Drosophila melanogaster: one gene and its partner. The protein of the gene in region 1 interacts with the protein of each later gene in a biochemical or structural test. Each region holds a gene or a part of one and is shown in the gene's direction. Other genes may lie near its edges.

Evidence for each region. The genes of interacting proteins can lie anywhere in the genome.
Region 2: the proteins of Lpt (region 1) and Su(var)205 form a complex in vitro, tested with the Drosophila melanogaster proteins (one study listed by BioGRID).

Annotation. Positions count from the first base shown.
Region 1 is NT_033778.4:23,896,698-23,904,189, forward strand, and holds Lpt (lost PHDs of trr), read left to right. Parts: upstream 1-1,863; 5' UTR 1,864-1,972; coding exon 1,973-2,567; intron 2,568-2,626; coding exon 2,627-2,749; intron 2,750-2,813; coding exon 2,814-2,983; intron 2,984-3,046; coding exon 3,047-3,237; intron 3,238-3,294; coding exon 3,295-5,258; intron 5,259-5,322; coding exon 5,323-5,467; intron 5,468-5,534; coding exon 5,535-5,833; intron 5,834-5,894; coding exon 5,895-6,203; intron 6,204-6,261; coding exon 6,262-6,914; 3' UTR 6,915-6,964; downstream 6,965-7,492. Other genes in the region: CG17658 (uncharacterized protein), read left to right, coding at 1-2; CG5339 (uncharacterized protein), read right to left, coding at 421-960, 1,018-1,302, 1,358-1,450; CG13562 (uncharacterized protein), read left to right, coding at 7,132-7,273, 7,338-7,492.
Region 2 is NT_033779.5:8,209,084-8,212,935, reverse strand, and holds Su(var)205 (suppressor of variegation 205), read left to right. Parts: upstream 1-1,813; 5' UTR 1,814-2,092; coding exon 2,093-2,206; intron 2,207-2,269; coding exon 2,270-2,386; intron 2,387-2,462; coding exon 2,463-2,583; intron 2,584-2,832; coding exon 2,833-3,101; 3' UTR 3,102-3,310; downstream 3,311-3,852. Other genes in the region: CG8372 (uncharacterized protein), read left to right, coding at 227-817; Ssb-c31a (single stranded-binding protein c31A), read right to left, coding at 1,102-1,377, 1,434-1,490; CG8419 (uncharacterized protein), read right to left, coding at 3,665-3,852. UniProt on the Drosophila melanogaster protein: Structural component of heterochromatin, involved in gene repression and the modification of position-effect-variegation. Recognizes and binds histone H3 tails methylated at 'Lys-9', leading to epigenetic repression.

The DNA of each region.
Region 1 (7,492 bases):
GACTACCAAAGACTATATAAGGCTTAGTTTAGTACACATAATACCTTCGACAATACTGACATTTGTTATTAAACAGCTGCTCGTCAAATACATATTCTAAGTTACCTGATTACTGCCACAAGTATCAAGTTAGATGCATTAAAACTACCCAAGACTGTAGAATAACTACAATTAGTTGATAATATCGAGAACAGTATTCAGTTTCGAACGCGGCTTTGAATGTCGCCCTTTAATTTAAACATGTTTGTTTATCCATTTACATTTTTGGTAATTCTTTAAGAATAAATTGTTTAACTAGTTGATAGCCTACATTTGTAATAAGTATAAATGCTCAGTTTCTCAATGCAGCCACTTAACTCTACGAGGAAAACGGTTACAATAACTTCAGAAGGGTTCTTTTTAGGATGTGGAAGCTTTGATCTAGAATGTCTTCTTGGAAATGACAACAATTAAATCGATTAACCAATAGAACGACTGGTGGAGATCACCCTCGCACAAGTACGGCGCCTTGGTCCATGCCTCCACGCGGTAGCCACAGTTCTCCAGCAGCTCCATAAACCTGGCCGCCTCCTCCTCGAACGACGCCTGTCGCCCGTTGTTCTCCAGCAGCGGGCGCAGCGGCAGATGCGAGGTATTCGTCTCCACGTAGTGCATGTAGGGAAGTACTAAGGCCACAACTGCTCGACCATTGGGAGCTAGTGCCAGGTGAATGTCCTCGAGCAGCTTGAATGAATCGAAGCAGCGGTCCAATACGTTGAGGCACAGAATCAATTCCAGGTTCTGCAGACCGTCTATCTCGGTGATTACGTTGAAGTTCAGCTTCTTCAGCCGATCGCGCATGGTCCAACTGGCCTCGGTGGCGAAGACCCGCAGCCCGGCACTTCCGCTCAGCTCGGAAACGGTGTTGGCCACGCGCAGCGAAATCTCACCGTCCCCGGCTCCGATATCCAGCAACGTGACCTACGATATGATGGCAGATGAGTAGTGGTCAAGACTAAAGGCTTTTACTCATCTTACAGGTTCTTGACCGCTGGCAGGCTGAAAGCCGCCTGCTACTAGCAGCTTGCGAAACTGTTCCTCGGACAGTATGAACATGGAGCCGCGCTTCAGGAACCCGTTGATGTCCGTCTGGGTCATGAAGAACTGCAGGATTGAGCGAGCCAGGGCGTGCCACAAGTGGGTCCAGATGTTTGCCGAAAGCGCCTTGGTGCGCTCCAGCCAGCTCACGGTGGTGGCATCCGGCTCGAGCGGCACGAACTTGGACTGGAATCTCGGCGGCAGCTCGTGGTTCAGGCAGTACCACTGAAATGCATCCAGAATTTAGGAAAAATCATATTGTTTCGGGATTTCGAGTTACCTTCCGAGTGTCTATGTCCTCCAGAGAGTTGTCGTTGTGGAATTTGGCGTGGATTACCCTGGCCAGGGTGCCGCGGGGACGATACACAGCCATGCTAACAGAATAGTCTATAATTGTGCTTTTATTTACATTTTCTACTTCTGTGTGTTTAACTTAGTTGTGCCATCATTTTTCCAGTTTGAAGAACTGGAGTACGGTATTTTTCCAGGGCTGGATTGCAGAGTTGCACTTTGATCAGCTGAATGCGATTGGTAAAGGTATATCGATATGTAGGCGTGACAGCCTAATGTAAGTGTATTATTATTTATAATGTATAATTTCAGAAATTAATTAATTAATTTGTAGCCGCATAAAAAAAATTAAAATATGATGTTATATTTGATTTGCCATTTAAAAGTATAAATACTTTGTAATATAAGGAAGACTTTTATATTTATATCTAATAATTGTACTACTCGCTCTGCAAACGAACGCACATCGTTCTCGACAACATTGACGCCTGTTCGATAACATTGGGGCGCGATGCACGTTGACATTTTATTTAGCTGTCGAGTAATGTATACAAAATAAGCGGCGGCTATTTTTTGTTATTTTAATGAAACGCATCAATCCGCGATGAGCACGAACGTTGTTGTGAGCATGGAGGAGAAGGCGGTGGCCGACGACCTGCCGTACTTCCCGGAGAAGTTTCCGGGCAAGGTGTGCTGTTTATGCAATCTCGGCGAGAAGAGTGCCTTGGGCCAGGGCGAGATTCTACAACTGAAGGCGCCCGCGCCCGCCGAGATCAAGGATAAATATCCGACGGATCGGCTGAGGGAGGACGGATCCAGGCTGTTATACGGGCCTAAGCAGGCCGCTTCTAGTTCGGGCGATTGTCACTACGAGCTGGACAAGATTGGACAGCCGGACGTCGTGCATCCCGCCGAATTTCTTGACGAGGGGTTCGTCTACGTGCACCGCATGTGCATCATGTGGTCGCTGCGCAAAAGTCAGATAAGCGATGCAGATGGCGCGTACTTTGCCACCCACTTCGCGGAGTTCCTGGAGCAAAAGTGCAACTTTTGTGGACGCTACGGGGCCTCCATCAACTGCAAGATGAACTGCCGCCAGGTGCACCATTGGCCGTGTGCCGCCGCTGCTGGGTGCCTTCTGATCCTCGAGAGCTTTACGGTCTTCTGCACGGAACATTTGAGCCAGGTGCCTGTGATATGTAAGTGATTCTTGGGCAGCAAACTCTCACAGAAACTAATGGAAACAAATGACTTACAGGCAGCGACAATAATGTGGAGTGTCTGTCCTGCTCCTCGCTGGGGGATCTGTCCAAGCTGATCATGTGTAGTACCTGCGGAGACCACTTTCATTCGACCTGCATTGGTCTGGCCAATTTGCCGGGTAACTACTGTCAAGTACCATCGTACCATTGGTTTACATGTTTACATGTTTAATGCTTCCATAGATACGCGTTCTGGGTGGAACTGCGCCCGTTGCACAAAATGCCAGATTTGCAGGCAGCAAGACTCGAACGACACCAAGTACGTTAAGTGTGAGCAATGCCAGAAGACTTACCACGCCTCCTGCTTGCGACCAGTTATCTCAGCCATCCCCAAATATGGCTGGAAGTGCAATGTAAGCAGATATTGACGGATATTAAGTGTTATCCAATACTTATGGTATTTATGTTCCTTCTAGCGCTGTCGCGTCTGTACGGATTGTGGTTCAAGAACTCCTGGCGGCGGCAGCTCCTCCCGCTGGCATAGCCACTACACAATCTGCGATTCGTGCTATCAGCAGCGGAACAAGGGCTTTTCCTGCCCGATTTGCCAGAAAGCGTACAGGGCAGCATCGCACAAGGAAATGGTCAAGTGCAGCTGGTGCAACAAGTACGTTTCACTCGCTTCTGCCTGATTAGTCTTGCTTATTATATGGATTCGTTTCAGATTTGTGCACAGTACGTGTGACGAAGAGGCGGATTTAACGGCCTACCACAAGAAGAAGGAGCAAAACCCAGATTACGACTACGTGTGTCCGAATTGCAAGAGTAATTCGTCGGGCCCGGGATCATCCCAACAGACAATCGACTCGATCGTGCTGTCCGCCATGGATTCGTCGTCGGAGCAACTGAGCCTCAAGGAAATCGAACTTGACCCGCTGGAGGGCAAACCCACAATGGATCCATCGAGCGATGAGCTCCACAAGCTACCCACCGGCAAGAAAAAAGTGTGCCTTACGAGTGTTCGCGGTAGAAGCGGAAAGTTCGTCCTACACCGCATGGGTGTGATGTCGCAGATCAACAAGAAACGCAGCACCCGAGGCAAGGGGCGCCAGCTTGCGCTGCCCACCATCTCGAGCGATCGCTGCCTGAGTCGCAGCATGGAAACAGATCTGACCAGCGACAAAAAGCTGCTGCTCTGCTCGGCGCGGGATAAGTTTATCCAAGCGCAAGACATCTGCGTAATGTGCGGCTCGCTGGGCATTGAGAGCGATTCCGTGATGATCACCTGCGCACAGTGCGGCCAATGCTATCATCCGTACTGCGCCGGCGTGAAGCCTTCGCGAGGCATCCTGCAGAAGGGTTGGCGATGCCTGGACTGCACAGTGTGCGAGGGATGTGGCAAGAAGAACGACGAGGCGCGCCTGCTCCTGTGCGACGAGTGCGACATTTCGTATCACATTTACTGTGTGAATCCTCCGCTGGAAACCGTGCCCACGGGCAACTGGAAGTGCTCGTTCTGTACACTGTGCCAGAAATGCGGTCGCAATCCCACCGAGAAGAGCGAGTTCGGGGACTCCAACATGCTCGAGTGCCCATCCTGCACCAGCCAATCCTCGTGTCCCGTCTGCAAAGTCTCGTACAGCAACGGCGAGATGATCATCCAGTGCGAGCACTGCGAGCTATGGGCGCACTTCCACTGCGACTCTGTCAATGCCCAGCTGACCATTGACCACTACGACAACAATGTGTACAAGTGTTTCAAGTGCCGCTGCTCGACGAGGAGCACTAACTCCCTGGCGGATGCCAAGTTTGGTAACGAGGATTCGCTGGCCATAACTCCCCAGGGCAGCAAACCATTTGTGCACATCACAGCCTCCTCCGGGCCGTCTTTCGATTCTAAGAGTGGTGCCGAGCGAAATCATCCTACCTTATCCGGCGATATGCCCGAGTCTGCTCCAGAAGCGCTCCACTGGATTGACGGAGTGTGCCTGAGCGAAAGCGGATTGGGCATGATCAAGTCATTGTCCACGGAGATCAAACGCAAGCGCAAAATGCGACAAGCCCTCGGCAATGGCAAGGATGGACAATTGGAGGCCGCCGCCGAGGAAGCGCTGGAAAAGTACAAAGACGGCATGGTCTGGGATGGGACGGAGAACGCTATTCCCGAGGGTTTCACCATCTCCATTAACGACGAGGGAGTGAACATATTACGCAAGAAGCGACAGCGCAATCTGCAGAAGCTGGGCATTGGTGGATTCTCCGTTCGCAACCGAGGTCTCAAGAAGGACAGCGAGGAGACGACGGCCGTTGACCAAATAAATTCCCTTATGACCATGGACAAAAAGAAGAAAATCATACGAAAGAAGCAGAAGAACAAGCTGATTGAAGCCTATCCCGTGTACTTGCAAGAGGCCTTCTTCGGAAAACCTCTGCTGGAAGGTGGAGAGCTTGTCATGGCCGATACAGATTCCTCTGACGAAATTGATGCGTCCATGAAGGTTTACTTCACGCGGCCCGAGGGCAAGAGTCCTGCCAACCAGGACACACTGGCGGTGAACAAGAGTCCAGCGAAGACCGTGAAGAAAGTTAAAGCTGAGTTGAAAACTGAGAACAAAACTGTTTTCATTCAGCAAATGCCCATGGGAATCCAGAACAAAAACGGAACGACGCCAGTGTCTAATGTTTTTGGTAAATGTTTAACCAACCCACTGACCACTTTATTCCCAGGTTGTATCGTTTACCATTTTTGCAGATCCCTTGCAAGCGGAGATTTCGAACACTGTCTTTGCTAACCGGCATCCTTTGGATGCGTTGGCTTCACCAAATGTTCCGGAACTGGACATGGCTAACTCTGTTAGTACGGTTCCATCAGCTGAAGTCATTGAAAAACCAATGCGGTGAGCCTCATGTCCATATGCCAGTCTATTCTAAGCTTATTAATTTGTTCTTTTTTCTTTCTCAAAGGGAATCACCTGCGGTCCTGGTCGACAGTTTCATGGTCCCCAACCAGTTGCCACAGGAACAGAAGTTTCACAATCAGCTATATTTGGGCGGAAATACTTTGGTTAATCCCGCCCAGCAGCTTCAGTTCCGTCAGCAGGCACCACAAAATGCCAATAAGCAGAATATGCAAACTATAATGAGCCAAGTCGTTTTGCAAACCGAAAAGAGACCAGAGGAGGAGCAGAAGGTTGTGGAGCCCGTGACGGAAACCCTGAACGCTGGCACTCAAAAGACGGCGGAGAAAATGCGCAAGGATGAGGGTATGAGGGTGCATTTAAATAGTGTAGGATTCAAATGCTCATCACCCCATTTGTTTTGCAGATCTTGGGCTCATGGCCACCATTTCGGCCGTGCTGTATGCCAATACTGAGCATCCCAACCTGAAGGAGTTGTTTCCGATTTGGAACGACCGCTGCAAGCAGATTCTGAAGAGGTGGCGCTCGCTGTGCAACGAGAAGAAGGCGCCGTTCTTGCAGAAGGCCAAGGACAATCGCTCAGCACTGCGGCAGAGGCGGGAACAGAACAAAATACCTATGCCACCGAAACCACAGAAGCAGGAGGAAATGGGAAGAGTGTGGAAACAACCGCCCAAGCTGAAGGAAGACCAGCCGAACATGTTTGTCACGTACAGTAAGTGCTGCAGCTCAAGACTTGTTTTAGTTGCTCTAACCCTTGTTTTTTCGTCTAGATGGAAACGCCTACGATATGGGCAACTATGTTGGTGGCTCGGCGCAGGCAGCGTCCAATAATCCCAATCCGCATCACGTGATGCCGAACGTTAACGATAATCTGGTGATTAAGGCCACGATGCAAAGGACTCAGGTGCACACGACAGCAGCCAGCACCTTGAAAATGACCACCGTGGACAATAGGCTGGAGTTGAACACGGCGGTGTACGGCACGGAACCCATTGGCGACAAGAAGCTCAGGAACCTGCTGCAGAAGAACAGCACGGAGCCGATGCTCATGGGGGCCAACTCGGACTTGTTCTTGGGCAACGATGTAATGCGGCTGGGAATGATGCAGAACACACCCATTACGCAGAACAATCCCATGCTGAGCATAAGTGGAAAATCTCAGCCATCTGAAGGCAGGTCCTTGGAGCAGGATGTGAAGTTGGGCGAGCCGCAGGAGGCAACCTCTTCCGCCGTGGAGTTGGAGAATGTCGGATTCAGCGACCTTCTGGGAGGACTCGGCGAGGGCGACGACGACGACCTACTCAAGTCGCTCACTTCCGAAATGGGAGACGACTTCAATATCCTGGAGTACGCGGACCCAGAACTGGACGTCAATGTTCTCAACTCCCTAGATTTTGATGACAATGAAAAGTGCTCTACATAGGAGAAGCGGAATCGTTTAAATTGAAATAAAGAAAATGCAATATTTAATAGAAAGCGCCACTTTTGAATGCAGCCTCTTTTGGCGCCAAACCCCATTCTTCATCGATTGCCGTATACCATATCGAATTTGTATCTCTTCGGCACAGAAAACTGGTTTTCTACGCGGTTTGCACTGTTGTTACTTTTTATTTTCAGCTAACCATCCAGATGACCAGATAATGCAGTTGTTCAGTAGTTTCCACTCAATCCTAATTGTTTGCTGTGTTCTCTTAATTGATGGAACGCACTCGAAACTGAATCTTAAATATGCCATTTTGAGGCAAAAGCAAGCAGCAAAGGCAACGCAAAATGACACTTTGGGTATGGATGTGGGAGAAAGTTTCTGCTGGACGAGCGTATCATGTCGATGTTTTTGTTTATGAAGCCCACCAGCAGAGAATCAAATATGATGCCCAGAAGACCATGAAGGTGATGTTCTACAAGAACAACACCAAAACCATGGAGACTTCGGCCTACGACGATGCCTACGATCTCAGTGGCTCGGGTTGCTCGCCCACGGACAAGTTTGCCATAGTTCTG
Region 2 (3,852 bases), on another chromosome or scaffold:
ACGCCTCTGCCATACAGCAATGCTTTCCAACACTGTCAATCTCCATGTCAATAAATACTGAGGTAGATGTGAGTGAACTGCGACTGCTTTATTTTCTCCTTATCGTACAATTAAAGCCCAATTGGAATTGTTAGCGACTCGTTTCATGGGCATTACGGCCGGGAAGACCGTGAGTGACTGTTCTTGTGGCTTCCCCGCACAAATATCAACCTAATACAGTGTAATAATGTCGACAAACCCAAGTCCGCAGCGGCAACAGTCCGAGGACGTTCAGATCTCGATGGCCAGTTCCGGAGGAGGAGCCGGCAATGGCGTTCCGGATAGACTGCCTCCGATCAACGTAAAGGACCAACGCTTCCCCTACTGCATCGTTTGGACTCCCATTCCGGTTCTCACCTGGCTGATGCCCATGATCGGACATATGGGCATTTGCACTTCGTCCGGTGTGATTCGTGACTTCGCCGGCCCCTACTTCGTATCAGAGGACAACATGGCCTTTGGAAGACCCACCCGGTACATAAGGTTGCACCCCAAGCACATGGTGGGCGGCAGTTACGCCTGGGACGAGGCGGTCTCCAAAGCATCTGTGCTCTACGGCACCCGCATCCACAATATCTTCTGTGACAACTGCCACTCGCATGTGGCAACGGCACTCATCTACATGCGCTACTACGACAGCACCGCATGGAACATGATTATCCTCAGCATGTGGCTCTTTGTCTGCGGCCGCTACGTCGGAATAGGGGGTTTTATTAAGACCTGGCTGCCGTTTGCCATTCTCCTGTCCATCTTCACCATTCTGGGCATCTATTTTTAATATTCATATCTATATCAAATGCTATCAATGTACAAATCTATGTACATATGACGTCCAATAAAGGATTCATTCATTTATGTATATGTGTGCTTTTTGTAGTCCCACCACAAAGCAGATAAGGAAAATACCTATCAGGCAATTAAGTTGGTCATTCATTAATGCTTCAGCAACTGTGAAAATACAGATTTTCAATTACTAGTGTTTAAGATAACGTTTATTCAGTGGATATGTCTATAGTTAGTACATATGGCTACGACTTAGTTTGGCATGTGGATGAACTTCAATTAATTCTCGATCGCGCGGGTGACTTCTTCGGCCACTTCAAGGAGTTTCTTCCATTGAATTAAAGATAGGGAGATGCCCTTCTTGCCGGGAAGAATTTGGCCGCCCTTATCGTAGAACTCTCGAATGTCCACCGATTTGCGACCGCGGAACTCGTTGATTCGCACCTGGCGAAGTCCTTCCAGGGTCCAAGATGTAGCACCATTTTCGCCCGAATCTTTTGGATCTGAATTTGGAGCATCAGATTCCTTCGCCTTCTTGCTTGCCGGCTTGATACGCTGAAAGAGGTTTTAACTTGTTATACCTAGTTTTGGTGTATTTCTAGTTAACTTACATCATCTGGACCGCTATCGCTATCTGAGGACGAATCCTTCTTCTTTGTTTTGGGCATTTTTATAGAATTTCCGTAAAACAGAAGAAACAAAACGCAAATTGTCAAAAAATTCGTGAATATTCGCGCAACTTATTCAGTGCTGTGAAACGCGTCGATAATAGTTGTGGTACAACGGATTCCTTAATCGATTCATCGATTTATTACAAAATTTTTAAAAACAGATATTGGCGATCAGTTAGTTACGTTATTATTATAGTTATGTTGTAAAATTTAGATAGTTCTTAGTGTTAACATTTTTCTAGACTTAAAATGAAATTAATACGATGTGCAAATCTATCGGAAAATAGATAAGCGTAGTCTTAGCAGTCCACGCGTACTTTCGCACACTGTTCGGCCGGCGTCATTTTAGAACGCGCATTTTTTTGCAGATTTTTCATTTTGTGGAAAGTCTTCTAGCGCCAACACACAGGCTTATAAAAACCAATTTAGCTGCGTGCATAAAGTGTAGATCTTATTTAATCTAGGTGAGCCATGAAAGCAAAGAGAGTCGACTAAAAATCGTACTTTCCTTTCGTACTTTGCGTGTGTGTGCGGTTGTGTGCGGTTGTGCTAATTCTTTCCTTATTTTTTGTCGTGTGAAGTATTTTAATAAAAACAAAATGGGCAAGAAAATCGACAACCCTGAGAGCTCGGCAAAGGTTTCCGATGCCGAAGAGGAGGAGGAGGAGTACGCCGTGGAAAAGATCATCGACAGGCGGGTGCGCAAGGGAAAGGTGAGTTTTCCGAACCAGACGTCCCATTATATTTGGTCCTAAAACGCCATTTTCCACCTGCAGGTGGAGTACTATCTGAAATGGAAGGGCTATCCCGAAACTGAGAACACGTGGGAGCCGGAGAACAATCTCGACTGCCAGGATCTTATCCAGCAGTACGAGGCGAGCCGCAAGGATGAGGTAAGTGAAGTACAATGCGATGCCAAGTACAGTTGTGCTTGCTAGGATTTCCTTTACATCTCGTTTCGGTCCGTAGGAGAAGTCAGCCGCCTCCAAGAAGGATCGACCCAGCAGCAGCGCCAAGGCCAAGGAAACTCAAGGACGCGCCAGCAGTTCGACGTCCACAGCAAGCAAGCGAAAGTCCGAAGAACCAACAGGTAAGCTATGGAATTGAGTGTACCTACAAATATTTTCTGTACACAAATTGGTATAACAATAGTCATCACCTACAATATCCACTGGCATTTATTTGCCCTTTTCGTCAAAACTGTATTCACATATGTATCTCAAATTTTGTCCTTCGCAAGAATGGCATGCGCAAGAAAAAGATGGTCTTTGCAATAAAAAAATGCATCTATTAAAAAATTGCACTGTATTAATTACTTGTTTTTATTTTATTTATTTAGCGCCCTCTGGCAATAAATCAAAACGTACCACAGATGCGGAGCAGGACACCATTCCCGTTTCAGGATCTACCGGATTCGATCGCGGCCTGGAGGCCGAAAAGATCTTGGGTGCCTCCGACAATAATGGCCGCCTGACATTCCTCATTCAGTTCAAAGGCGTGGACCAAGCAGAAATGGTGCCCTCCTCAGTGGCCAATGAAAAAATCCCACGAATGGTAATCCACTTCTACGAAGAGCGCCTATCCTGGTACTCTGATAATGAAGATTAAACAGTTGGATCATCGAAAGCGAAAAAGAACGATTATACATTTAACGAAAAATTACCCACTTAGAATTATAGCTCCTTGCAGGCGCTTTCAAAACCACCCAACCAACTCTTAAGGCATCGGACTTTTTTCCATAAATGTCCAGAGTCAGTGTCTGTATTTATGATAACCATTTTCAATAAATAAAAAAAACCTTTATTCTGCTGGAGCCTATATAAGTAACTTTTATTTGCGACTTGTTGCTCAACGGTCAGGATATGACGCGCATATGCTGACCATATGGTAATAAGGAGAATTCAATTGGTAATTCCAGAGGTCGAAAGGGATTTTGTAGCCTTAGCAATCTGAGATTATTGTGTGCACATTGTAAATGGACTGTCGGGTCTGTTGGAATGCATGTATTTTGCAGGTAGAAAAACGTTTATTTTGAAGTATCCTTGTTGTCTATCTGCGCGTGCGTATAAACTACAAGATCTTTGAAATTTCACAAGATGAACAAACAAAATGGCGAAACCTGGCTATATGTTAATTTATTCGTTTTATAGCCCTGCATCCTAATCAATTACTTAAGAATTAAGCAGTTTGTTGGCCACATTGCATTCCGAGTTCTCAAGGACATTTCCACAGCAGGACCAATGACGTCTCCCTGGATGTCCAGCATGTCCATGACCGCAGCCACTATATCCAGGCATATGACCCTCACACGAGCACATCACGTTCCGGTTGCCCTTTCCGGAACAGAAGGAGCAGCAGT